2 linked regions of the Drosophila melanogaster genome follow. The protein of the gene in region 1 interacts with the protein of each later gene in a biochemical or structural test. Each region holds a gene or a part of one and is shown on either strand. Other genes may lie near its edges.

Region 1 (12,065 bases):
CCACTCCACTGCAATGCTCCAGTGCCGAGTAATGTTCGAATTTGTGTGGAGCATCTGCAGCGCAATCGGCGACTTATGGAAAAGTTGCGTCAGGCACTTGATTATTTGGTACGCCCTCTTCTGGTAGTGCGTCTTCGCCCGCTGTATCGTCTCTAACAGACCCTCACGTTCCTCCGCCACTCCGTTGAGAGCATTGTGTATGCGATGGTGCTGCCACGAGTCGTCGATCAGCAGGATGTTCAGAAGCAGATCAGTGTGGTGACGCATGTCGTGACAATAGGCGAACCCACACTGCCACAACAATTCGGTTAGCACTGCGCGAGAGAAATGTGGATTCTCCCAGCTGCAGTATTGCAACAGCTTCAGACCCTCGTCGCCCACGTTAGTGTCTTCGATCACTTTCTTGATGTAGCTGAAAAAAAAATGACAAAACGGATCGTAAGCACTCACTGTACGTTTCTTTCATAAGGAAATGGCTTGAAATGCTCTCTGAACTGAGCACAGTTATCAGTAAAATGCCATGCACCTTACCCCGTGCGGTTAAAGAGCAGGTCCATGCACTCAGTGGACAGGGGCGTCAGCTCCTCGTGCGCAACATTGGGATCTTTGAACGGATTGGACAGTGGACGGGCGTTCTGGTTGGAGCTCTGGCATTTTTCGCTTACATCGCTGCAGCGTATTAGGTGCGAAACCACTTGGTGTAGCTTGCTGAACTCTGGATACTGGTATTTTATTGCCGGACCGGGGCCATCATCCAACGCCACCTGAATAAACTGCAGCGGCACATTGAGCTGCAAACGAACATAATCGTTTAGAATGGCAAGCAATCTTATTGTAAATAGTTCTCACCCTAAGCAGTTGCTGTTTTTCCCGTGTTCCTAGTCCCACGTACATACTGAAAAGGCTAAAATAGTGGGGCAGGTGTTTGCCATAGTCGGCTGCCTCGGATTTCAAGAGGCGCAACACGCTGATGAGTACCTGCTCGCAGAGATTAGCGCCGTCATAGCCAGTCAGAGGTTCATCGTTGATGGCAAAATGGCAGAAAAAAACCACCAACTTGACAAAGACAGTACGGACATCCGGAGACGGAGCCATCAGAATGTACTCGCCTAAACGCGATGGCGGCGAGAGGAGCGCATGATTAGCGAACCACTTGCGAACTAGTGCCGAGGAACGTATGTGGTGTGAGAGCGCGTCATACCTGTAAAGCAGAAGATGTATCCTAATTATACCCGAGTCAATACCTCCCAAGCTACTCACCATTCCATAACGGGGCCTCGCAGAGACTTTTTCGTGCGGAAGCCGGTGTGGAAAAGAAACTGCGATGCTAATTGGACGCCCAGCAGTGAAAGCTCTTCTGCAGCAGGAGTCTGTTAAAAAAATAATAGTTTTTTTAAACGGGAAATAAAACCACTTGAATACAAACTGACGATCTTATTGCTCCGAGCAGAAAGTAGATTGCAGCTGACCAACTTTTTGATAAAGTTAAAGAACTCCACGGAAAAAATGCTGCGGGAGTGGAGAAACCGAATGTTCTGGTGTCTGCAATCGAAAAAAAATAATTAAAAAGTATCTGTATAGTGGTCAAGCACTATTTCCACTCACCGCACGCTGCGCTCAATGGGCTTTGGCAATGGTAAAACCATGTTTCGACTTTCTGCGAGTGACAACTGCTCCACGCTGGGTTCATACTGCACGGGAGTTTGATCACAGCGGGTGTAGAACAACATGTAGGCATTCCACCAGCGCTTCTGTCGACGGTACTGCATGCGCTTAAGATTGTTGTCGTAGGTTTCGCCCATGTACTCGCCGCCAAAGCACTCCGCCTTCATTTCCTCGTCCTCGTGCATCTTGCACTCGGTGACTTCGCCGTCGTCAAACTTATACCACTGACACTTGCCGTTTGCTGGGTTTCTGGAGCAGGTGTTGTATTGAATTAGTCTTAAAAAAAACTGTAACATTGTTATGGTACGCACTTGGAGAGTATGTAACTGAAGTAGTGACCGCCGGAAGCCTGTCCGCTGTGCACCACAATGCCGGTCAGTTCGTACTTCGTCGTCTCAACGTTTGTTTGACAATTATCACCCACTTCCACCACCTCGCCCTCTAGCTTAGCTAGGCCAGACACTGATCATGGAGAAGAAGATCCAATAAGAAGATATATACGTATGGAATTACGGTTAAACTCACCTGTGTATGGTTCCATATCCAAGATACGTGGAAATTCAAAATAATCATTAAATTTAATCGCACAGACGCGTTCGTAGTCGTATTCGAAACGCTTTAGTTGAATGGCTAACACGGGTGGCAGCTTCTTAACGCACACTCGCTTAACGGTAACTACCTGTTGGACACAAAAATGATGTTAATAAAAATTAATTGTATATGAATATCAGAGATGAGAACATTACTTTTTTATCACATTTATCACAATGGTATGCATCGGCTCCCTCGAGCAGCTCTCCCTTGACATACTGCTCCAGAGATTCGGTTAATGAGCTATGATTCCTAATATCGACACTAAATACACTAAATGGTTCCTCTTTGGAGTAGCGATGGGGACACTCTTGGCAGATTTTCTGGTCGCTGAACGAACCGCCCAGAGTGGCATTCATAAGCTGTGGCTGGCCTAGCGCCTTAAGTCCTTCATCGAGACTTTCAAGCAAGGACATGAAGAACTCCACGGCATCCTGCTGCTCGCGAAGATTCACGGGCTCTCCCAGTAGCCTAGCAAACAAAAATTATAATATATTAATATCATTGTGATGCCAATCAATGAAACAATTTTGTACTTAAAATGTGTCCAGAGACCACGTGGAACGTAATACTGCAACGCACTGTGGCCCAGGTGGGCGAATATGGCCTGCACATGTTTCAGGATCACAACGTGATAGTTCTTTCGCACATCGTGCAAACCGTCTTCGATAGTTGACGACGACGAGGGGAGGCTGACTAGGGCAGAAGCGGGACCCGAGAATAGGGCCGATCCAAGACCGCCTCCCGTCAAATCGGAATCGCCACTGAAATCCTCGCCGTCGGTGGTGGCAGCGCCGTGGGCTCGCAGAATACCCACCCGGACCGCTGGTACCATGTAAAGCTGCTGCAACACCGAATTCATGTAGCAAGTGGCACCTGCGTTCTTTAGTCCGCAGAAACCTTTAGTTGGCCTGGCGCCCACCGGCGGCAGGTAATCCCATTCGCGCAACGGATCAGTATCTACAAAAAATTGAGGAAACATTTAATCATGAAATGATCTTACGATTCCAACACTCACCCGTGCAGACGAAGTCTATAAGTGTATTGGTGAGTAGCTTCATATTAGGAACACAGAGCTGGCACAAGGCAATGAGGAGATCGCAAGCAGCGGCGATTGTGTGCGGACTGCGACAAACTGGTGGCGGGACGGTGTCCTGCCGTAGACTGCCATGACGCCGTAAATGCAGAAATTCGCGAGAGGCCGTGAACAGGAAGTCGTCGATCAGTTCGTGGATGAGCTCGTTCAGCTGCGCCTTTGAATCGGCGCCAAGGAAAAACATTAGCTCTTTGGCAAGGCAGAGGTGGCCTTCAAGGAGCTCCTCATGCACTTGTGTGTCGCCGGTGGCGTGGACGTTTTCGCGAATGCGTTGCAGCCACTTAATCTCATCGCCTAACAATCCCTCGCTAATCTGCAGCGGCCAGTTGTAGATGCATCCATAAGAAAGGGTCCGACACAGCACCGAGAAGAACTCAGCGCAAGTTGACTCGTACTGGGGAACCAGCGTCTTCAACGCGCCAACCAGCAAGTTAACCATGTATACGAACGGTCGCCGATCCCCAGCGCAATAGGTAGAAGCCAAAAACAACTGCTCAGAGGCCACCTGACGCACGTGGCGAAGCGGGTTCTTCAGAACAATGGAGGTGATGAACTTTGGCCAGTTCGGATCGCTAGTCAACGCCTCGTTGGCACTCGGATTCAGAATAAACGAAATGGTGAGAACCTCTAGCGCCTCCTTGCACATGCTAAAGTCTTGCCCGTCCGGCACGATCACCTCGTCTTCAAAGTCGCCGCTACTATTGCCTAGAGCCTGAAGATTTCCGCAAGACGAGGCCCAGGCCAGTTGCACTACCGCCTTAATGGTTGAAATGTCGGGACATGACCACTGCAGTGTGGAGCTAAATAGCGTTCGGCACCGATCACCTTCTGGGCTGGCTGAAAGCATCTCGCGGGCAAGGATCACAGCAAGTTTCGCGGAGATCGCCCTCAATGTTCCCTGTGAGCTACTGGGCATCGTGGAGAAGTTCTGCTTCAGGATGTCAACCTGGGAACGGGATCCGTTGTCAAGGTCGCAGATCATGGGTTCATCGCCTACACGAGACAATACACTGCCAACTATGTACAGGAACAGCTTTGCCAACCTCAACACACACTGGAAGGACGCACGCTTTGTGTGCATATCGGCGCTAGGCAGAAAATTGTTTTTGGTCAACAGTTCCAGCACGAAATGAGCGCAGCCAGAATGCATCCATGCAGACTGCACTAGTAGGGCACTTTCTCCTAGTGGATCTAGCGCGGGAATCAGCAGTCCGTGCAACACACTAAGGTTGTATAGCACTTGAGCAGGTGTGGGGTGCAAAAACATTTGCTCTGGCGTGCAGTGTTCCTAAAAAGAAGAGATATTAAGAGATTGATACAGAAAACAATTTAAATTAAATAACCATTATAGCTTTCCTGAATGAACTAACTCGACTAACTATAGTCTTACCTCTTCATCTTCAATCCCCGCCTGCTCAGTGGGGTACAGTTTCTCCTCCTCATCCTTAGCGATCTTGTCACCCGTCACAGCCACCGTTACGGCAGCCTTCGGCACCTTGCACATAATCTTTAGCTGACGGATCGTCTGGCGGTCGCAGGGAAGCAGGTGTAGTAAAACTTTTGCACTGTCTCGAAGACGACCGTGCTCGAGATCACTGCCCAGTTGGTACAGTTTTAGAAAGAACTCTGTGTACTGGTAGTTTTGCGAGATGATCACACCGGGTAGCGTGCTTTCTGACTCCACACGCTGCATGTCAGGGCAGGGACGCGGAGGAGATCCTGTGCTCGAGTCGCTCGAGGAGTCGGGACTGCTGGCTAGACCCGTACCCACGGGCGTGAGTTTTGCTGTAAGATTCATCTTATCCCGGATAGTGTACTGATAAAGTGGGTTTATTTCATCGGAAACCCCGATCATCTCGTCATTAGCATAGAAGAGATCAACCTTTATGTTGGCCGTCGAAGTTCCCTTGATTCGCTTAAGTAGATTTCTCTTAAAAGCGGCCATCGTCTCGTTGCTGTGTGTAACGATCTCCATGTCGTCGATAGATCTGCCAGGGTTCTGGAAGCGGATATATAAGATGGTGTTTTTGCCCCGTGTAACCCGGCTAAGTGGCAGGTGAACACGATCGCCGCTGAAAGAACGATCACACTCCTTTACGTATTCTTGCAGCACCTTTAAAATTCGGCACATCTTCTCCGCCTCGATGAAACGCATTTTTGAATCTTTAGACTCGTCGTTGGTATTATCCGACTGATCGGGGGCATCTAATTCCTCTTGCAGCTGCGTCTTGCCCAATATAACGATATTTCCATAGTGTGTGCGCAGGCGGGAGCAGCACTCACCAATGAACATTTCATGAAACTCTGCGATATTCTCCTGCAGACGTGGGCCCAATGCCGTCGACACTTCCTTAAGTAGATCAATGGCCTTGCTGGCGATTTCCTCGCCTCCAGTTGTAATGACCCGCCACAAGTAGTCCTTTCCTATTAGATCCTCGTTGTCCAGCATGTAACCTCTATGTATCGCCTTCAGCTTGTCCTCTTTGGAATTGACAGCCTTAAAGAAGCGCTCAAAGCACTTGATTCCGCTTTCGGTTAGTAGATGCGGATCAAGTTGCAGGATGTTGTTCTCGAAGAAGTCTTTGTTTATGCCAGGATCCAAGTCAGGCTCCTCACCCATCAACTTGCCAAACCATCTAAAACACTCCTCACGATCTGCCGGAAAAACTGCATTGACCGCCAAGCAATGCCAAATCTGCTTTGCCTGATCTGCGCACAGCCATAGCTGTCCATCTTTCAGCAGGAACTTAAGGAACTCCAGTCGCTCCGCTATTTGCACGTGATGCGGAAATCTTCCGTCAATTAGGATTCTGGTTGCATCCAGGCCTGGTGAGTCCGTTACCATTTGGCGTACCTTTTCCATGTATGCAGTCAAACTATTGGTGACCAGAATGACCAAGGAATAATCATTCTGTAGTCGTTCAATCACCTGCTGACGATTCGTACTCGTTTGAGTGCGCTGGGCATGATTTGTCGTGGTATCATATAGGCAACAAATATCCCGGATTAGACGCAAGGCGGGCAGAACCCATCCATCGCCTGACTTAAGTTCGTCAACGCACTTATCCAACCAAATGGTCTTTTGGGCATCCCGCTCCTGCGAGCAGCTGTAGTCCAAGATTTTAACGTGTGCGCCCAGCGCCTGATCAAGCACCTCTGGCGGCACCTCCTGACTGTGGGCCAGAGTCCAAAACAGCTTAAGCACCTTTTGGGCCATCACACCATTTTTGTCATCCTCAGCCAAGCGGCGTATTAGCTCAAGAAGTCTTTCCCGTTGCCGCTTATTGGCAGTGGTCATGCTGGCCTGAAATAAAAATTAATATTGTTTTCATTGTTCATGAGATTTTATATACAAACCATCGCGGAAAATGTAATAATCATAATTTAAAACTTAAACTTACTTAATACACTTTTAAAGCAGAAAACTCACCTGGAACGCCTCGAAGAGGTGATCCAGTTGCTCGGGAGTAAAGTCCCATGCAAGTTTGGCCAGTAGATCGTGAACGTTCTTCACGATTGCCTCGTGTTTGCCGGCCTGCGCTCTCCAAACTGCATCCAAATCATCCAACGTTAGTGCCTGCTCTTTAATAAGAAAGCGGATGATCTTTTCCAATTTTTCCACATACTGCGGTTGGTGTAGCGAGTCCTTGAGCACGACACCCAATACATCTGACGACTTTATCCATTGCGCCATGCGATCCGCCGTCAGCCAGTCCATTTCGTCTTCGGGCATACAGTGGGGCAAAGGTTGGGATCGATGGGAGAAATATGCGACCGAGGAGAGCACCTTGTTGATCTCATTAAGGGCATTCATCTTGCCGTTGAAGCTGGACACCTGCAGCAGACGCAGGATCATCTTTAGGCGAAACATCTCAAGATCTCGGATTAGCTCCTCCTGGCCAGTCAAGCGGCTGGCCAGTAAGCGGGCTGACTTTACAATCCCATTGATGTAGTCATTGCGTCCCTCAGGTTTCACTTCTCGCTTTAACTCCTCGTCTGTGAAGCTGTCCAGAAGGTCTAACACAACGTTCCAGGTGGGCATAAAGTACTTGGCTATAGTGGCAGGCATTAGAAGCTCATAACATTGACCGAATGGACGCAAGAGGCTGTGTATGAGGGCAAGGGTGAGGCGATTATCCTGAGCCCCATTTTCAACCCTACCCTCGACACTAATATTCTTGCCAGTGCACTTGTTTTGGTTGCGCTTCAGCAGTTCCAGTCCGATGTTAAACCGTTCCAGTAGATTGTCAAAGCCTCCCAACTGTCCGAAGCGGTTAATAAGATCCACAAGCCAGCCACGCGCATTCTTGGGCTCCGGCGGCGGACGGGCGTACATTTTGTTGCTGTCCAACTGACCCCAGATGTAGTCCGGCGCTGCGAAGCACTCCGGTTGACGGCCTGCGTTAAATGTGTTGAACTTGTTCTCCGGATCAAAAACAATAGCCAGCAAGTCAAGCAGATAGGGATTGTCTCGCTGCATGTGGATGGCGATTAGATGTAGAAGCTTGCCGCAAGACACAAGGATACAGTGGTGGATGTTATTCTTCCACGAATTCACCGCCTCGTCGGTTAGGATCTTGGCAAAGGAAGTGCTCAGTCCATTGCGATAAAACTCCACACATGGCTCGCAGTCGTGATCCACACCTGCAAATAAATTGACTTTAGAGGGTATCAAATAAATCGTTTGGACACACTTACCAGCCTGGGTCAGTTCGATGGCTGCATTTAAGAGAACCTCCAATTCCTGTTCAGGCAGCACCGGCACCACCCAACGCGGATTGGATATCTTTTGCGTTAGTGATCTCAGTTTCGTCGTGGGAAACGAGGATATAAGCTTCTCTGGAGGCCTATTTAATTAAATGGACAATTATTCAATATTAAAAATAACAAATTAAATAATACACATAAAAAAAAAAGTTCTTAGGGGGTCAATCAAAGCACACCCTTCCATAAACATTTCTGTTTATTAAATGGTTATTTCTATTAAAATAAATGCCAAAACGCATACATTTTTTTTTTTTTTTTTTTTGTAATTTTCAGTGTTAGCTTATTTTGATGGACAAGCGATAAGATAGGCCGTGGACGGGCATTCAAAATGAGATAGTAATAGCCGGGTAAGGTAATATTAGTAAAGCTTGGTAAGTTCATTGCTAAAACTGGACAGCAGCCAAGTGCACCTATCGAAGAAAAAGAAAGATAACATTTATTGCCACATTTATGGTCACTAACCAGTGGCCTGGCCAAAATCATCTGAAACATAGTTAAATGAATTACGAACATTGTGCTGGCCCAACCATAGACAAACAAAGAATGCATGTGGAAGAATTACTACGCAAAAGTAAACACACGAATGTTGGGGATCTTTAGGGGTGGCGGTCATACTGGTGCTACGCACAAAACCCGACTAATTGGGCGGAGTCATGCAAATACGGCAGCACGACCACTTACACTATTGTGATGGTGCTGTCCACGCTGTTCGCTGACAAGGAAGCGGCCACGTCATCAGAGCTCTGACTGTCTGTGGCCGGCTGTTGATCCTGGTTGCCGTCCAAGCTACCTGATCCTCCTCCTGGCAGACTCGAGTTGGCGACTGTTCCTGTGCCTGTTCCTATGCCCGATCCTGATCCGGCACTCTGCGCCGGACTCGTTGTGGTGGTTGTTGTGCTGGTGGTGCTGCTGCTTGAGCTGGGCGCTGTGCTTCCCGGCTGTCCGGTGGTGTGCCTACGAGTGTCGAACGTCATGGTGGCGGGGTATCCTCTCCAGCCAACTCGTTCTGCGGAGCACCGGAAGCGGATGTTAATGCACGAGCTCTAGTGCCGGGCTAATCCTAATGCGTTCTGCAGTGCGCGTCGTTTTTTGACTGGTGTCTTATGGCAAATGTGAGGTATCCGGGCTTCTGCTTGTCCAGTTTGGGAGTTCCCCGCTGATTTGCTGTTTCTTGAGGCACAGTTGGTCGGTTAGTTGGACTTCTTGCTCTGGGCTCCCTCTTATTGTCCTTTTTCCCAATGCCTGGTCAGCGGCCAGTTTGCAAAAATCTATAAAGTGCAACGAAGCGAAAGAGGCAATAAGAGGCGGATAAATACAGCGCTAAGAGAGAGACCGAAAAGGCCCACATGTGTACGAAGCTCAGTTTTGGGTGTGTGAGTGGTCCTGCGTGTGTGTAAGAGAGCGCTGGGTTGGAATATGAAAAATCAATATTATTTAATAGACGGGGCAGCAAGCGCCAAATAATGCTCCAAAAGCACACAAATTACGCTCTCACCCACTCACACGCACGCACGCTCACCCACAGAACCCTCTCTTTTTGTGTGTGCGTTTGAGTTTAATTTAAAATTGTTTTTGTTTTACGCCTCGCTCTTCATTCTTATTTATTTATTGTTATTTTTTTGGGCAAACAAAGAACATTTTCCTGCCGAAAATTACATCACGTCCAAGTTTACGGATTTTGCACTCACTCTCTATCTCTCTCCGCCCGGCATCATCCTTAAGCGGAATGTCGGTCGGTGGGTGGGAGCCACTGGTGGAAAAAGGGGCGGGGAAAGGGTGTAGGCGAAGGGTGGTGAAAATAACTACGCATAAAGTTATAGAAAGATGCCAAAATTAGCGGTTCATTGGGTGTGTCGAGGGCGGTAAATTGCTCACATTCTTTCTATAGCTTTAAAAGTTGTAAGAGATTAACGGAAGTCACCCAAGGACGGCGGCCAGTGCGGCTTTTTATTATTTTTCACTGTTTTTTCACGCGCACACACACTTCCTCACGCGCACGTACATTTATTTTTCGCAAATGGAATCGAGCGAACTGACGACCGAGTCCCAACTTTTCGCAGGCCTCAAAATGGGCGATTGCTCTTCCTTTCGCCTTTGCTCTGGACAGCGGGGAGCCCTTACTTGGCTGCGCCACTCGAAGCTAGTCGCGGTAACTATTTCGCGAATATTGAGCTTACAAATCAGCCGGCCAATAGACAAAATGGCGTCTGCCGTTGCTGTTGTTCTGCGGTCAACTCCAATTGCCATTGCTTTTTACCTGCCTGCCCGACGGCGAAGAGCTGCGTATCCTGCGAGCGTCGCGGTTGCGGCCACAGGGTTTTTTCTACCCGCTCGTTGTCCAATTCGCGTTAAATAAATTATATTTAAGCTATTTCTTTTGCTAGGGTTGTGCAGTTCGGGCGAACTAGTTATGAATTGAACCGGTTCGCGCGGTGCTTTTTACCAGAGTTATCAGGCCATGCCAAAAGCGCGCCTATCGAACTGGTTTATGTGGTACATATAAGGGACCCTAAATTTAAATTTCTGGCAATTGGGATTTCAAATAAAATCAAATCATTGAAATGCACTGTAAGAATGTACACTCTACTAGTCATGTTTAATTGTAAATAAATATATAAAAACATATAGTATTATTAATTTGATCAAATTAGAAAGCAGTCTTAGGGCCCATTATATAATCTGTAGAAAATAATTTCCTTATTTTTAATACATTTCGCATGTGCTTCTGATGTATTATCATTTTATAAATTAGTATTAATTTAAGTGCACGAACAACCTATTCGTTTATTCAGTGGTCCTACTGATAACGATAAGTCCGATATCGATAGGAGTATTGTTTTTATTTTGTTTAATGTAATATACAATACGAAGTAATTGTTTTGATTTCATGAGAATGTACGACGCGTTGGAACGCTGCCCAGGAGCCTACTGTGGGCGATCACCGCTAGGAAACAACAGCTGGAGCAGCTGCGGGGTCTGTCCCAGAGGATCTCGGGTTAATGTTCTAGCATCCTTCGGAACGGCGCCTGGAAAATAATTTACTTTTATATTGTTCAGGTGAACCAAAGTTACGCATGCTCTCCATGCCGCGACGAGTTAAGCACGTACTCCTGGCTATACCTGGGATTCATGACCATGCTGCCACTTATGATGCACTGCTTTTTCATTGACATGGACGCCAAGGATCGCAAGTGAGTGAACTAATCAAACTGGAAGAAGAACTTACTTAGTGAATTCACATAGGTTTTCGCGGAAGCAGCTGATCTTGACGGCCAGCGCTTTCGTTGAGGTTGCCATATCTGCCATCCTCGCCACCTTGCTAATGGAGCCCATGTGGGAGCTGCGCCTCTACGCCTGTGATGTTCGAAAACTTACTGACTGGTACACATTGTTTTACAACCCCAGCCCCAATTATGAGGCACGAGTCTACTGCACCCAGGAGGCAGTTTACCCATTGTAAGACCCAGCCACCCAAGGCTCCAGGTGTTCACAATAGTCACTTTAATGTTCAATTTCCAGGCAAACCATCGTGCTGGTTTTCTACTTTCTGTGCCTGGTGAACATGTTTCTCATACGCCCGCTAGTCAGCAAAATTATGGATGTGGGGGGCAGAAGCAAGGCGCCGATTTACTCGGCTCTTTACTTCCTGCCCCTGCTCACCTTTATCCATGCGTTAGGATGTGGGTTGATCTGTGAGTACTTAAGTGCTTGCTAATATTTTGGTCTTGAGATCTTTTCTTTTTCAGATTACTCCTTTCCGTACCTTAGCGTGGCCATATCCATGGTAGCCAATGCCATCCACTATTCCCTCAAACTGGATCAAACCCTAAAGGCATTGGTTCACTCGTCGGTGTGGGAGTTAAAAAACGTGGTCATCATAGGTAAGCAAAGTGCGCATTCACCATACATAAAGTATACCAGCAGCTTACTTTCCCAGCTGTGCACT
Region 2 (12,393 bases), on another chromosome or scaffold:
CTGCTCTACGTTTTTGTATTGATGGGATTATAAGCTGCTGTGGTATCTAAATGCCATCTAACCTCCGGATTCGATCTGATTAGATTAGATCGTTTTGCGTGCGAACCAAAGGCAAATAATATGTATATATATTATATTATTATATATATATAATAATATATATATATATATAATTGTGGCAGGCTCCATCGCTACCGACTGACTGAACAACTAAATAAGCCTGCCAAGTGGGGAATGTTATGATGCAAACAATAACTGGGTAACTCGTACAGCAGTTTAAGACTCAAACTAGAACTTATAATCAGAACTAGCTTAACTCTCACGTACTTTGTCTCTGCAGGAATAACGTTGGTTTTCTCCGTCGACGAAGTCTTTTCATAAAGCGTGGTGGAGCGACGTGGAATGATGCCACTTGTGCCGCTGACCGTGCGATTGCCATTCGTCGGATCGTACTTCGTTGCCGTTCGCGGCTTGGCGGGACTGTTCAGTGCTGTGAATTCAGTATTAATATTAGTCTCTTTGCTCATTTCATCAATCATTATATTAGCACTTACTGGTGTCTGCCGTGGTGAGCATCTTTTGTGTGGCCGAAGCGGGTCTCTGATTTTGAGCGGCCAGTCGCGCTGTGTTCTCCTTAATCGTAGCCGAGTCGATTGTGTTCTGTCGCTTAAAGTTGCTGCCACTGCCGAGGGCAATTTTAAGTGTAAAATTTATAGCACATAATTTGTCAAGCTACTTACACTGATGCTCGATCCGCCGCTGATCCTGCAGCATTGTAGTTATTGCTTGGATTAACCGCACCAACGGCTCCCGTGGCCGCCGCAACTGTTGCTGCCGCATTTGTCGGTCCAACACCTAAAAAAAAACATTTTATCGTACATTAAAATGGGTACTTCCGCACATTGGCACAAAGTTTAACCTTAGTAAAAAATTTCTTGGGCAAAACTACTGACGATTGACGATTAACTAGCGCATATCGGATTAGTTATTTTAAAAGGAAAGGTTAGACTAAGCTTTCTGTACAAATGTCGGTTTCCTAATCCTGTAGTTCGACCAAGAAAGTTTTTACTCTTGATTAAATATAGATGAATCGTTAGCCCCAAAGTGGGACTTACGCAAAGTTTCCGCACCAGACGAGGCTCGGCGACTTGGCTTCGTGCTAGACGCCGATATGCTCCTGTGGACTCCTCTGTGCGTGGGACTCTGAACACTCGCACTACCAGCATTGGCGCCCGCATCATTACCCGAGATGTTGCGCAGTGAGAGCGAGGAGCCAGACCGCGATCCGTCACTTTCCGGCTGCGTGGAAGGAAATAGTCTTTTAGCACTTCTGTTGTTCGGAATGTGAAGGCCACCAACTTACGTCTGTACTCTTGCGACCCAGCAGCAAATATGTGGCGAAAACATCGTCGTAGCGCACCTGGGAGAGCGAAGCCTCGATCTCCGATCGATTGTAGCCCATCGCGACTAGAGCTTCTAAACATCGCGATGCGAAAATGACAGACAATTTGATTGTGAGTGAAAGGTTTTTAAAGACATTCAATGGAGATTTTAATACGATTAGGTAACGCATGCAAATTTATTACAGTTACATTATATATTTGGCTATGAAATCACCGATACTCGAACTGATATAGTTCGATGTCGAGTAGCCGGAATTGTGTGTTCTTTTGGCCTTCAACTGAACAATTGGCAGTAAGAACGTTGGATAAAAAGAAATCAGGTATATATGTATGTATTTAGATCATGCAGTTAGCGAAATTAAATAATACAATTATCATCGGCGTGACAGGACCCAAACCGGATGCAATCTCGAATTTATCTCAGAGAACCTCATTTATTTGTTTGTTCGTATATTTGTGCACATATCAGCAGATATTTACACTCGCAACAAGTAAAATAAAAATCAATAAAAGATAACAAGATCATACAACAAAAATTCGATTTTCCCTTGGCTGGCTGTTCAAGATTGATTTAATTTTAAGATTATCCGTTCTCTTGAGCTGGTTTGATATCTTCCTTGACGGTCTGTTTGTATGTAGAATTTTGAGGACAGAAAGTGAGAAAGAGAACAGAGAGTTGGGGGTTAATGCGGAACTCTGGGGATCGAGCGTTAACGTTTCCACTACACAGATTGCATACATTTTTAGGTGGACCCTTCCGCTCGTCGATCAGAAAGTTGACCATTAACATCAAGGTGTACGCACTACGCCGAATCGAGAGCGAATTCTTGGCACCGGTTTGTGACCCCGCAGCTATGTGAGAATTTACAAACAAAACACCATGAAGGTAATTGAATTTAAAATACAAACATCAGGATAACGCAACACTGGGAGAACCCAAGTAAAAGGAATTCTGTAAGCAACATTCAACTACAAAATGAAAACAAGTTGATAAAGAAAGAGTTTACAAAGGAACTAGTAGTATTACATTACATAAACAAAGATCGCTTGATAACAGCAATAAAACACAACGAGCAATTGGCAGGCAAAACTCCATTCCACACACAATTCGTTAATAATATTAGTAATAAATTTTGTATACAGTACCCGTCTTACCTATCCGCTTGGGATCGGCTAAATCGGCTTTGGGCTCAATATAGGGCTTGAGTTCGTCCTCCTCAAACCCCATGTTCATCCACTTGTCGCCCATGATTGTTTCCAGACTAGCACGCTTTGCGGGATTCAGTACTAAGAATTTGCGGAGCAAGTTTTCGCAGTCAGTCGACATATAGAAGGGAATTCTGTGGGGATAAGCGGTTTGGTTTAGTTCCATTTACTTTCATTTTATCTTGCAACACTTACCTATATTTGCCTCTGAGCACGCGTTCACGCAACTCCCTCAAGGTGGAGCCGTCGAAGGGCAGGGAACCGCTCACTAACGTATACAGGATGACGCCCAGCGACCAAACATCGACCTCCGGTCCGTCGTACTTTTTGCCCTGAAACAGCTCCGGTGCCGCATATGGCGGGCTACCGCAGAACGTGTCCAGCTTTGAGCCGGGTGTGAACTCGTTCGAAAAGCCAAAGTCAGCGATTTTGATGTTCAGTTCGCTGTCCAGCAAAAGGTTTTCAGCTTTTAAGTCCCTGTTATAAATAAATAATTCCGGTTAATAAGGTGCCAACTATAATAATGGGCCTTTGGTTTGTCCTAGCCTGTTTATATAAATCATCTGATTTTAATTAGCATTGATTACTCTTACCTGTGAATTATTCTTTTTTGATGACAATATTGCACGGCTGAGACGATTTGTCGAAACTTAACTCGCGCCTCCTTCTCCTTCATGCGTCCGTGGAGAACCAGGTAGTCGAAGACTTCTCCGCCAGATGCGTACTCCATGATCAGATAGAGCGTCTTCTCCGTTTCGATTACTTGGAACAATTTAACTATGTTGGGGTGATCCAGCATCTTCATTATTCTAACCTGTGGGCAGAGTACGATTAGTAAATAAGTCAAGGTATTCTTTTAAGCTAAGTACAAACCTCTCTAAAGAGTTTCTGTAGTGACCCAGGATTGAGTTGGGTCTTGTCAATTATCTTGATGGCGACCTCCTTGCCAGTGGGCAGGTGTTTCGCTAGTTTCACCTTGGCAAAATTGCCCTTGCCGATCGTCTTTATGAGTTTGTATTTGCCAATATGCTCCTCAGTAGCACGCCATCGCATAGGAGCACTACTCCGCATTTGCATGTTAGGCGAACCCTGTAAAAACAATGGTCAGGGGTAAGTAAAGTTATGTATTTTGGTGTGCATCAGGTGTCGGTTATAATTTATATATAAAACCCAACATTTCTGTGACAATCCTGATTTATGACCCTTTAAAAACCGCATTGCTAACGATTAATAGTTATATTAAATGCGATTTTAAACCACAGTGGTATTGCTTTCTCTGAACCAAATGATGAAAATTATATTGAAATATGGTAGATAAAAATGGATTTTGGTTTTTATCCCGTTTACCTGCGCAGCATTGTTGCTGTACACATTGCTGCGGTTTGCCACCACGCTGGGTACGCGGCTAGTGGGATGATGTCCTACAGGCGGGTGAGTTGAGGCTGTTCCTGACCTCGACTCGTGTCCCGAATGGGATCTTGGATCAACGCTGTGTCTGGTCGAGCTGGTCACATGCTCTGCTCGACTGGAATTGTACGGAGGAATAGGAGCCACAATCGGCCGGTCCGAACGTCTTTTCGAACTGGCTGCATTACTTCCTGTTCCCGAGGCACCAGATGCTCCATGACGATGTGAGGATTTTTGGGCCAACAAAGCTTCAAATTGTCGCAAATTCTCCTCACGCCGCTTAGACGCTGAAATGGTAGTGGCCGTAAGCTTAGATGGAGCCACTCCATCCACCACGCTGCTGCTGCTACCGCCACGACTGGCCGAGCCGGAGGTGGACGTGGTGGAGGAGGAGCTCCTGGCCGCCGGAGTGGGTCCAGTGCCAGCTGGTCGCCATACCGCTGGCTGTTTCTCGTCCTGCAAGTGCTGCTTCTGCTTAAAAGTGGCCCTCATGGCCAGCACCGTATCATTATTCTTCGTATCGGAGGCAGTACGTGCCAGTTTAGCCTTCACAGCATTTGCTCCGTTTGCGGCAGCAGCCGAGTTCTTGGAATAGGCTCCGATCGAGTTACGACCATCGCTGCCGCGCTGGAATTCCGATAACATCAGCTCATTGCTGTCATCCAGTTCTCCTGCCCGCCTGCCGCCCAAATACTGAAAATCATTCTCGGAGGACATGTCACTAATGCCCGGTCGCAGAAGGTTTTCCGTTTCACCGTAGCGCTTGCTCTGCTTGCGCTTGATCTCCAGTTTCATCACGTCCATCGATGATTGGGATTGTTGGTTTTGCTGCTGTTGCTTAAAGCTCTCCTCCACGTTATGGATGTGCTTCTCGATGGAGCCGAGGGCAAAGGACACACCGGCATCGTCTTCGGTGGACAGAAGGCGTGGCATTGGCGGCTTTTGGCGTTCTTTGGGCGTGGGATGCGGCTGTAGGGTGGGTAGAGCCGATACGGCTATCCTGGGCAATGGAGTGGCTTGGGCATCACGTCGTCGAAGCTCCACTATGCTGTCGTCTTCGGTGGCTCCATCGAGATCCTTGTTGGCAAGATGTGTTTGACGCAGTTCCATTTCCTTTTCCGTTTCCGGCAAGTTACTGCTGCTATTGTTGTTGTTGCTGCTGTGGTTGCTGTTCTGGTTACTAGATGGCGCCACACTGAGCTTGGGCGGCGCAGGTGCCGCCCCCTTGCGGGCGGCATACAGCCGGACACTCTTCCTGGTGGCATCGCCGCGATTCAAGTCAGGTGTTGTGGTAGTGGTGGCCTCCATAGCTCCTCCGTTTTGCTGCTGATTTCGGTTTTTCTGTTTTTTTTCTCTTAAATTTTTTTGTCGTGGCACTCTTCCCTTGAGTGTGTTGGTGCACAAGTACTTGTTGCTCGGAGAGATCGCAACTTTTTCTTTTTTCTTATTTCTTTTTCAAGTTGCGCTTGGCGTGTTTATTGTTCTTACACTGTGAGTTTGGGGAAAATTATTAAATTGGTCTTGGGGCTTCGGAAGTACAATGCAGCTCACACCGACAGGAGTAAGTGCTTGTGTGTGCGTTCGTTTGCATTGGGCTTTCTAAATTCTCAACGTTACTTTTGTTTGTTTTTTGTCGTCTAACCAACACACAACAAGTCGCAGTTGTTGCGCATTAAAACCTCGAAAATGAATTAAACACACAGCTAGCAACTTCCATTTCTACGTATGTACATATGTATGTACAGATGGGCGGACGGGAAGCGTGTGTGCGTGATATTTACGACAACAGGCGGACAAGAGCTAATCTGTCTCCCCGGTGACACTGAAATAAACACACGGCAGGCGATGTGGGGATGTGAAAGGGAGGGCAATATACCTAAACACACAATTACATACATAGCAAAAGAGAGTGCGCGAGAGAGAAAAGCGAAGTGGCACCTACACACCTGTGGTGGAGGTGAGCTCTTGTGCGTGTGTTTGTTTTCGGTCTCTCTCTAAATTGCTCTCTCCTATTTCTACTGCTGTTGCACAAGCTCAGCTGAGATGCCCTCGCTCTCTCTCGTGTGTGTGTCACGCTTTTCCTGTCCCCACCCCCACCCTCCTCTCCCACGCTCTCTTTTCAGTTTTATGATTCATTTGCCTTTTCGCTATTTTCCTTTGTTGCTTTTAATTACTGTCTAAATAGTTACGATGTGGAGATCTACAAGTATCTGAACAATTCGTCCGTACGAGTCGTTTAGTTGCTGGCTGGTTATATTCCATTTTTATTCGTCGCTGCTTCAGTGAGCAAAGCGAAAAGCTCCAATGCACACACACAGACACACACATGCACGGTCGCACCAACACATTGAAGCAAATGAACTACTTTTAGACAATTGAGCCGACTTTTTCACTGCTGAAAAACACAGTTAGGCTATATACATTGGTCGTTTGATAGTGTGTGAGTATTTTCTTTCTTTTTTTTTCACTTGGTCTGTGGACTATAAAAAATCACATTTCGCGCAAATCCCGATTATTAAAAGGTTCGTTTCGTTGGCCGGAGGAGTTCTTTAACCACACACGGTTATCTTATCGCAGAGGCACGCGGCTTTCGCAATTTTTCGCACTCATTTTACGTGGGGGTTTGGGTATTCGTACTAAATTATAGCTCCTCCTCTGCAACTCTGACGTAAACGTCGTCGACAGGCTACGACTACAACTATACGATTTACACCAACAAAAAACAGCAAAACACAGAAGACACCGAAAAACAAAGCTAAACAGGGCTCAGCAGCCAAAGAGCCACTTGGCCACTCAGCAACTGGAACTGGAGTGCCGGAGAGCGAGAGCGCGGAGTATTCCAAAAGCACGGAATCGCTTCGAGCAGCGACGTCGACTGCGGCAGCGGCGTCGGCCTTAATACACCAACACACCAGCACAAGCACACGATCAGTGGGCAGCTCTCTCCACTGGTGGAGCACTACTACCATTAATACAGTATCTCTATCCGTATCTGCATCTGTGTACTTGTTCTCCCACAAAGAGAAGCCCCGTTTGGAGCTCGAAAGTTTTGAGAGTGTATGAGTGTGCGAGTACCACTGAGCGTAACGCTGGGAAAGAAACTGTTAGCCGTGTTTGCTGCAGGGTTTAGTGTTCTGCGCATGTGCGCAATATATAAGTTCCACCAAGTTACGCAAAGCGCTTCTTCCCTGATTTACTGCGATTAAAGTAACATTCGGTTGGACTTTGGTTTTCTATTAAAATCAATCAATTACCCAATAAGTTCAACTGCTTCCTTTAAAGTTAATCAGTTGATTAGGTGATGCATTACGTAAGAGTTCTAAGTAATAAAACCAAAAGGACATGATGTCTGAAGTCTGAGTCGGAATTCTACGGTCGTCGCGAAGATTTCACTAATCAACTTCCCCCGTTCCCCTGTTTTACTCTATATCAATCACCAGAATACAAAGACCGAGGAATACACACAGTTTGGTACTAAAAATGCAATCCCGAAAGAACATTATTATGAACATCTTGTCGTCAAATAATTGTAAGTCATTTGTCAGCCGACACAATAAAATTTGTGAATAAAATATATAGAGACACGAGTGATACGACATAAACGAAACACATTAGGTATACTTAAAAATAAATAATCTGGAAAATAGAGAAACTCTCATTTTAAGATATCAAAAAGTGTCTCATATGAAATTCGATCATTCTGTCAATTTGTAACTCGCCAAGTTTGGTTTTAATTTATTCATACGAGGTATCAAGTAGCTGAGCCTGTATAAAGTGTCCGTATTAATTAAGCTAATTGAATAACTTGCAGCTTAATCTACATTAAGACAAGACAGCGAGATTTCAGTCAAGCCTTTCAGGTCCCAAACAAAAACATTAAAGATAGAATTTCATTTTTCGCATGCTAGCTAACAGGAAAATCTAATGAGGTCAACTATTATGAACTTGTCCTCCGGACAATGCAATCGTATAGTTATAGAAACAGAGAGCCCGTAATCCCTATAATCCCCTAATCTTTAAACGTATTTGCGTTGGGTTTTTATGTAGCACTTGTGCGATTAGACTGAAAATATATATTAGTTTCCATATGGATTATAGGAATTCAATGTGGGGTAACAAAAATCTGAAATTAAACAAAATCCGTAATCAAAATAATAGAAATCGTTATTCATTCGATTGTGGAAAAAAAACCAAAAACCGTGACAGATACAGACAAAAACGAAACAGCGATTACGATTAGATTGAATGAAGGTGGCAGCACAACAACGATAAATTTGCAATGTTCATAAATGAATGGGGAAGTGTGAGAGACCGACAAACTTTAATCACAACAAATATAACCTTATTGCCCCACTCTTTTGAAATGAAGTAGCAAGGTCAAGTGTAGTTTTGCTCAAGAGCCTAGGAAAGTTTCTAAATCACATAATTGCCAATATCGCAAGCTCCCAATATAAATCCTCCTATATCTTCTATTATATTAATTATGCAATAGTATCTAACGGGTTACCGTTACCGTCGATGGATTTCGATAAAATGTAAGCAACCATCGATAATATCGATAAATTTATATCCAATATTACATACCCTCGAGTTGCGAGCCTTGTCACTGGATGATGCCGACTCCTTGGCCTTGGGCCTTTCCGCCTTACTGGTGGCCACAATGGGCAAGCCGCCGTTTTCGATCATTGTCACCACAATCTTATTGTTCCGACTGCTTACGGTGCCACCACCACCACCGCTTGCGTAGGATGAGTTCGCCGCCGCAGCTGAGGCTGCATTTGTGGCCGCTAGATTCTTCTGCCGCAGGGCGTTCGATAGCCGTTGCTTGCGTTCCGCTCGGGCCTCCTCCTTTTCCCGCTGCAACTTGGCAATAGTGGCGGGCGTGTGGCTCTTGGAGCGCTTTAGAAATCTCATCAGTTGGCTCTTAACATTGGTGGCGGCACTTCCATTTCCCTGGCTTGTGGCATCGCCTATTTCCTCTGCCCTGCTGGATCTTCGGGATATTTGAGCCTTGGTGGGTACCTCCAGGCGACGGAAGACCCCATCGGCCATTCGGACGAAACAGCCCTCCGACATCTTGTGAAAGGAGTCGGATGGCAGTTTGTGAAAATCGCCATTGGGACTGCGATAGTAGCAGTGATCCGTCCGATGATAGCCATCTCCCACAATATAAAACTCATTGCGCCCCTCCTTGGGCGCCACAGCTGCTGCTGCTGAAGCCGAGGATTCGGCAGCCAGGTCGTCAGTCTTGGCACTTCGATCCACGGGCAGTTGGAAGGCCATTAGTTGGGTGATGCTACTACTGCTCCCACCAGCAGCATCCTCTGCTGTAATAGGCAGGACACTACCCGAAGTCCCCTGCCCGGTATTAACTGGTTTCAGCTCACTGATCGTTACCGGACGACGTTCCGGGTTCTTGCGCATAATGCTTCCATTGCGCAGAAGTGAATCTCGCAGGAGAGAGAGCTCATCCTTACGCAATGGTTGCACCAATGTGGGGTAATGTTTCGAAGACGAAGTCGATTTGCGGGTAGAGGTTCGACGATTTCCAAACTGTGAAGCCGGTTGTGGTGGTTCCTCCTTGTTGTTGTTATTGCTACTGTGGTGCATCTGCCGGTGACTGGAAGTCTGGCCCATGGTAGGTGCTTTGGTGGTTTTGCGGTGGGTGGTTCACTTGGTTGTTTCGTGGTTGGGTTGCGGTGGTATTTCTTCGTTCTCGACGCGACTCGGTGTTCACGGTATACGGATTATTGGCCCAGTTGCAACGAAACTGAGACACATATTCCCTCGTTCTTCGCTTTGGCAATTATCACAGCGAATTTCGTGTGTAAACATTGAGAGATGCGCGCGTATACGTGTGCATAAAAGTATGAATAAATTTTGTTCGTTTTGTGTATTTTGTGGCACAACAATCACAATTCAGGCGCAGCTTTGTCGCTTTTATTTCGAAAAGACCATCTTGTTAAATTCTATTAGAGCACAATGAGTGAACATTGGAGAAGCAATCGCAGTAAAAGTCACAGTCTCTCGGTCACTAAATTGCAAACACATTCACCGTGCCAATCTTACTGAGCACAAATAATTGGGATTCGCAATGCACAGAGTAAAACAATAACAATCATAAGAACTGATAGGTCCATTAAGCAAGCCGCTTATTCAGTTAAAGAAGGTATGGAGAATTTTGAATAGCACAACTAAATTTTCTTGTTGAATATGAAAGTACCACATATATCTTTGAATCTTATATGAACGTATCTAGTCTTGTCATTCACAAATTTATGGTTATATGACAATTGTAAATTCTTTTCTGAAAAGTTTAAAATTGGGACTAATAAGTGTTGCTAAATATTTGTGTCTCTGTGCATGAAGAATATGTTATCTTTGCTTTCTTCTAGGATATTTGTAAACTTGTTGCTTACATGACGCGTAAGGGGGTTTTAAAAAGTGAAGGGTGGGTGCTTTTAGATAACAACACATGTCTCTTATCAGTTATCGCACTTTACACATCTCTCTCCGTGTGAGTGTCTCCGTTTTTTTTTTGTGGACACAAGACACTCGCGATAAGTTCCACAACCGTTCCAGCTGGGTTTGCTTTTGAATGGCTAAATGTGTATTTGAGAGTCCGTCGCTGTGCGGTTTGTGGATCGTAAGCCTTGGCACGCCCGATACAGATACGCAGATACACAGATAGTAGAAGACCAGCAACAAAAACAACAACAACAAAATAAGCGTTAAAGAGACAACGATGAAGCCCCACACATTGCTGTTGCTATTTCTGTGATTCCCTCTCGCTCTCTACGCTTCCCCGTGTCACTCTTTCCCTCTGTCCAGTAGTTGTTGCTATTCTTCTGCTAGTTACCTCGTTTAAGCGTTACTTACACGCACACTAGCGCACAGCGACTGTTGCTTTTGCGCGTGTGTGTTTTGGGTAGGAATTTGTTCGTTTTTTTCCTTTTCATTCCGCTTTCGTTCTTTTCGCTTGCACTACTACTGTTTTTCTTCATTTTTTTTTTTTTTTTGTATTTCTTGTCATACCGTACTTTATAATTAAATTAACTTATCACCCGCAATTGGCTCATTTCTCAATGTATCTGCGAGTTGAAGTGGTTGGCTCAAAAAAAGCTGGATACATTTCACTGGAACTGCAACACACACACACACAAACACACACAAACACACATTTATATGCGCACTCATACACAGCGAGTCCAAGCTGGAAATTTATAAATTAAACACTATTTAACCGAATTTATTTATAAACACACGTGCGTGTGTACTTAGTCAGTTAGAGTGTGAGAGCGACTGTGACTTTTCCTACGTCAATTCGGTTTATTTTAAGCTGCGTACTCATGCCCTTGATTTCATTCTAAGTGAGCTTAGCTGATCGGATTAGCCAGTGACGTTGTTCTTTATCGCGGATGTTGTAACGCCTGCGATTTGGATTCGGATCACAACGATGACAACTGCGCTTCAGCTTTTTTGCAATCTCTTCGCCTTACTTCTGTTGTTTTTTTCTTTATTTTTCGCGTTTTGTATTGTTTGACGTAACGCCCTTGTGCTTGTGCGATAATAACTGGTCACAATGGCAAACGGCAAATTATAAATTGAAAGTAACAAAAATAACAACAAGAATACCAGGGGAGTCAACTCATCGCGGGGCGATAACGATACAGGCTAGGCGATATAGCAACGATATCGGCGGAGAGCGACGGTTAATGACAACAGAAAACAGCGCGACGACGGTGACCACACGAATGAAGTGGAACTTAATACTAAAACAAGCTTTCGACCATCGCTGCTGTATGCTGGCTACTTTTGCCATTGTGGCTGCCGCCACTGTGGATTGTAATTCTGTGGATGTGGCGAGCGAGCGAGCGAGCTTGGCATTTTTGCCAAAGTTCTGCGTCTGGGAAGGTCGTTGTTGTTGTTGTTGCTGTAGCTACTCCAAGACAACAACGACACACCCTATGAAAATCGTATGCAATCTGCAGGTAAGTGCAGGTGATTCATACACCCACACATGCACACTTACTCAAAAAAACTGGTAGAAACCACACATATTTCTCGAAAAACATTGAAAAACTTTAAAGAGAAGGAGAGAGAACTCGGAAGAGCTTTGGCAAAGGGATCCCCAGTTTGGGAACCTGTCTGCGAGCCGAGCTTAAAGCCCACATAAACATCAACTCAGCATAATTTAAAAAGACTTCCACTGGAAATTCCAAGATAGAGAAGTAAAGATTCCAGTATGTAGCTTCTTAAGGAATCGAAATCTTTAAAGATTTGAAAAGAATCTGTCAAAAATGAATATTCCATGCGTAAAACAAATCATTTTTTAAGATAACCTTAAAAATGTAATTTTTGTAATATTTTTAGTGTT

Evidence for each region.
Region 2: of the proteins of faf (region 1) and par-1, one has a biochemical effect on the other in vitro, tested with the Drosophila melanogaster proteins (one study listed by BioGRID).

The regions. Positions count from the first base shown.
Region 1 is NT_033777.3:31,775,494-31,787,558, reverse strand, and holds the start of faf (fat facets), read right to left. Parts: upstream 10,540-12,065; 5' UTR 10,377-10,539; intron 10,317-10,376; exon of another isoform or gene 9,995-10,316; intron 9,922-9,994; exon of another isoform or gene 9,808-9,921; intron 9,388-9,807; 5' UTR 9,094-9,387; coding exon 8,801-9,093; intron 8,200-8,800; coding exon 8,051-8,199; intron 7,997-8,050; coding exon 6,783-7,996; intron 6,657-6,782; coding exon 4,743-6,656; intron 4,641-4,742; coding exon 3,275-4,640; intron 3,217-3,274; coding exon 2,793-3,216; intron 2,728-2,792; coding exon 2,412-2,727; intron 2,345-2,411; coding exon 2,191-2,344; intron 2,128-2,190; coding exon 1,977-2,127; intron 1,915-1,976; coding exon 1,606-1,914; intron 1,543-1,605; coding exon 1,431-1,542; intron 1,371-1,430; coding exon 1,261-1,370; intron 1,202-1,260; coding exon 850-1,201; intron 792-849; coding exon 532-791; intron 413-531; coding exon 1-412. Other genes in the region: CG2126 (uncharacterized protein), read left to right, coding at 11,007-11,114, 11,177-11,310, 11,363-11,575, 11,639-11,811, 11,866-12,000, 12,057-12,065. UniProt on the Drosophila melanogaster protein: Ubiquitin C-terminal hydrolase involved in development and the imd/NF-kappa-B (IMD) signaling cascade. Required for eye and embryo development, and plays a role in compound eye assembly and oogenesis respectively.
Region 2 is NT_033778.4:19,461,902-19,474,294, reverse strand, and holds the start of par-1 (par-1), read right to left. Parts: upstream 6,830-12,393; 5' UTR 6,654-6,829; exon of another isoform or gene 6,482-6,653; intron 5,506-6,481; 5' UTR 5,325-5,505; coding exon 3,957-5,324; intron 3,699-3,956; coding exon 3,483-3,698; intron 3,424-3,482; coding exon 3,203-3,423; intron 3,087-3,202; coding exon 2,805-3,086; intron 2,744-2,804; coding exon 2,550-2,743; intron 1,477-2,549; coding exon 1,364-1,476; intron 1,300-1,363; coding exon 1,116-1,299; intron 856-1,115; coding exon 741-855; intron 683-740; coding exon 555-682; intron 491-554; coding exon 328-490; intron 1-327.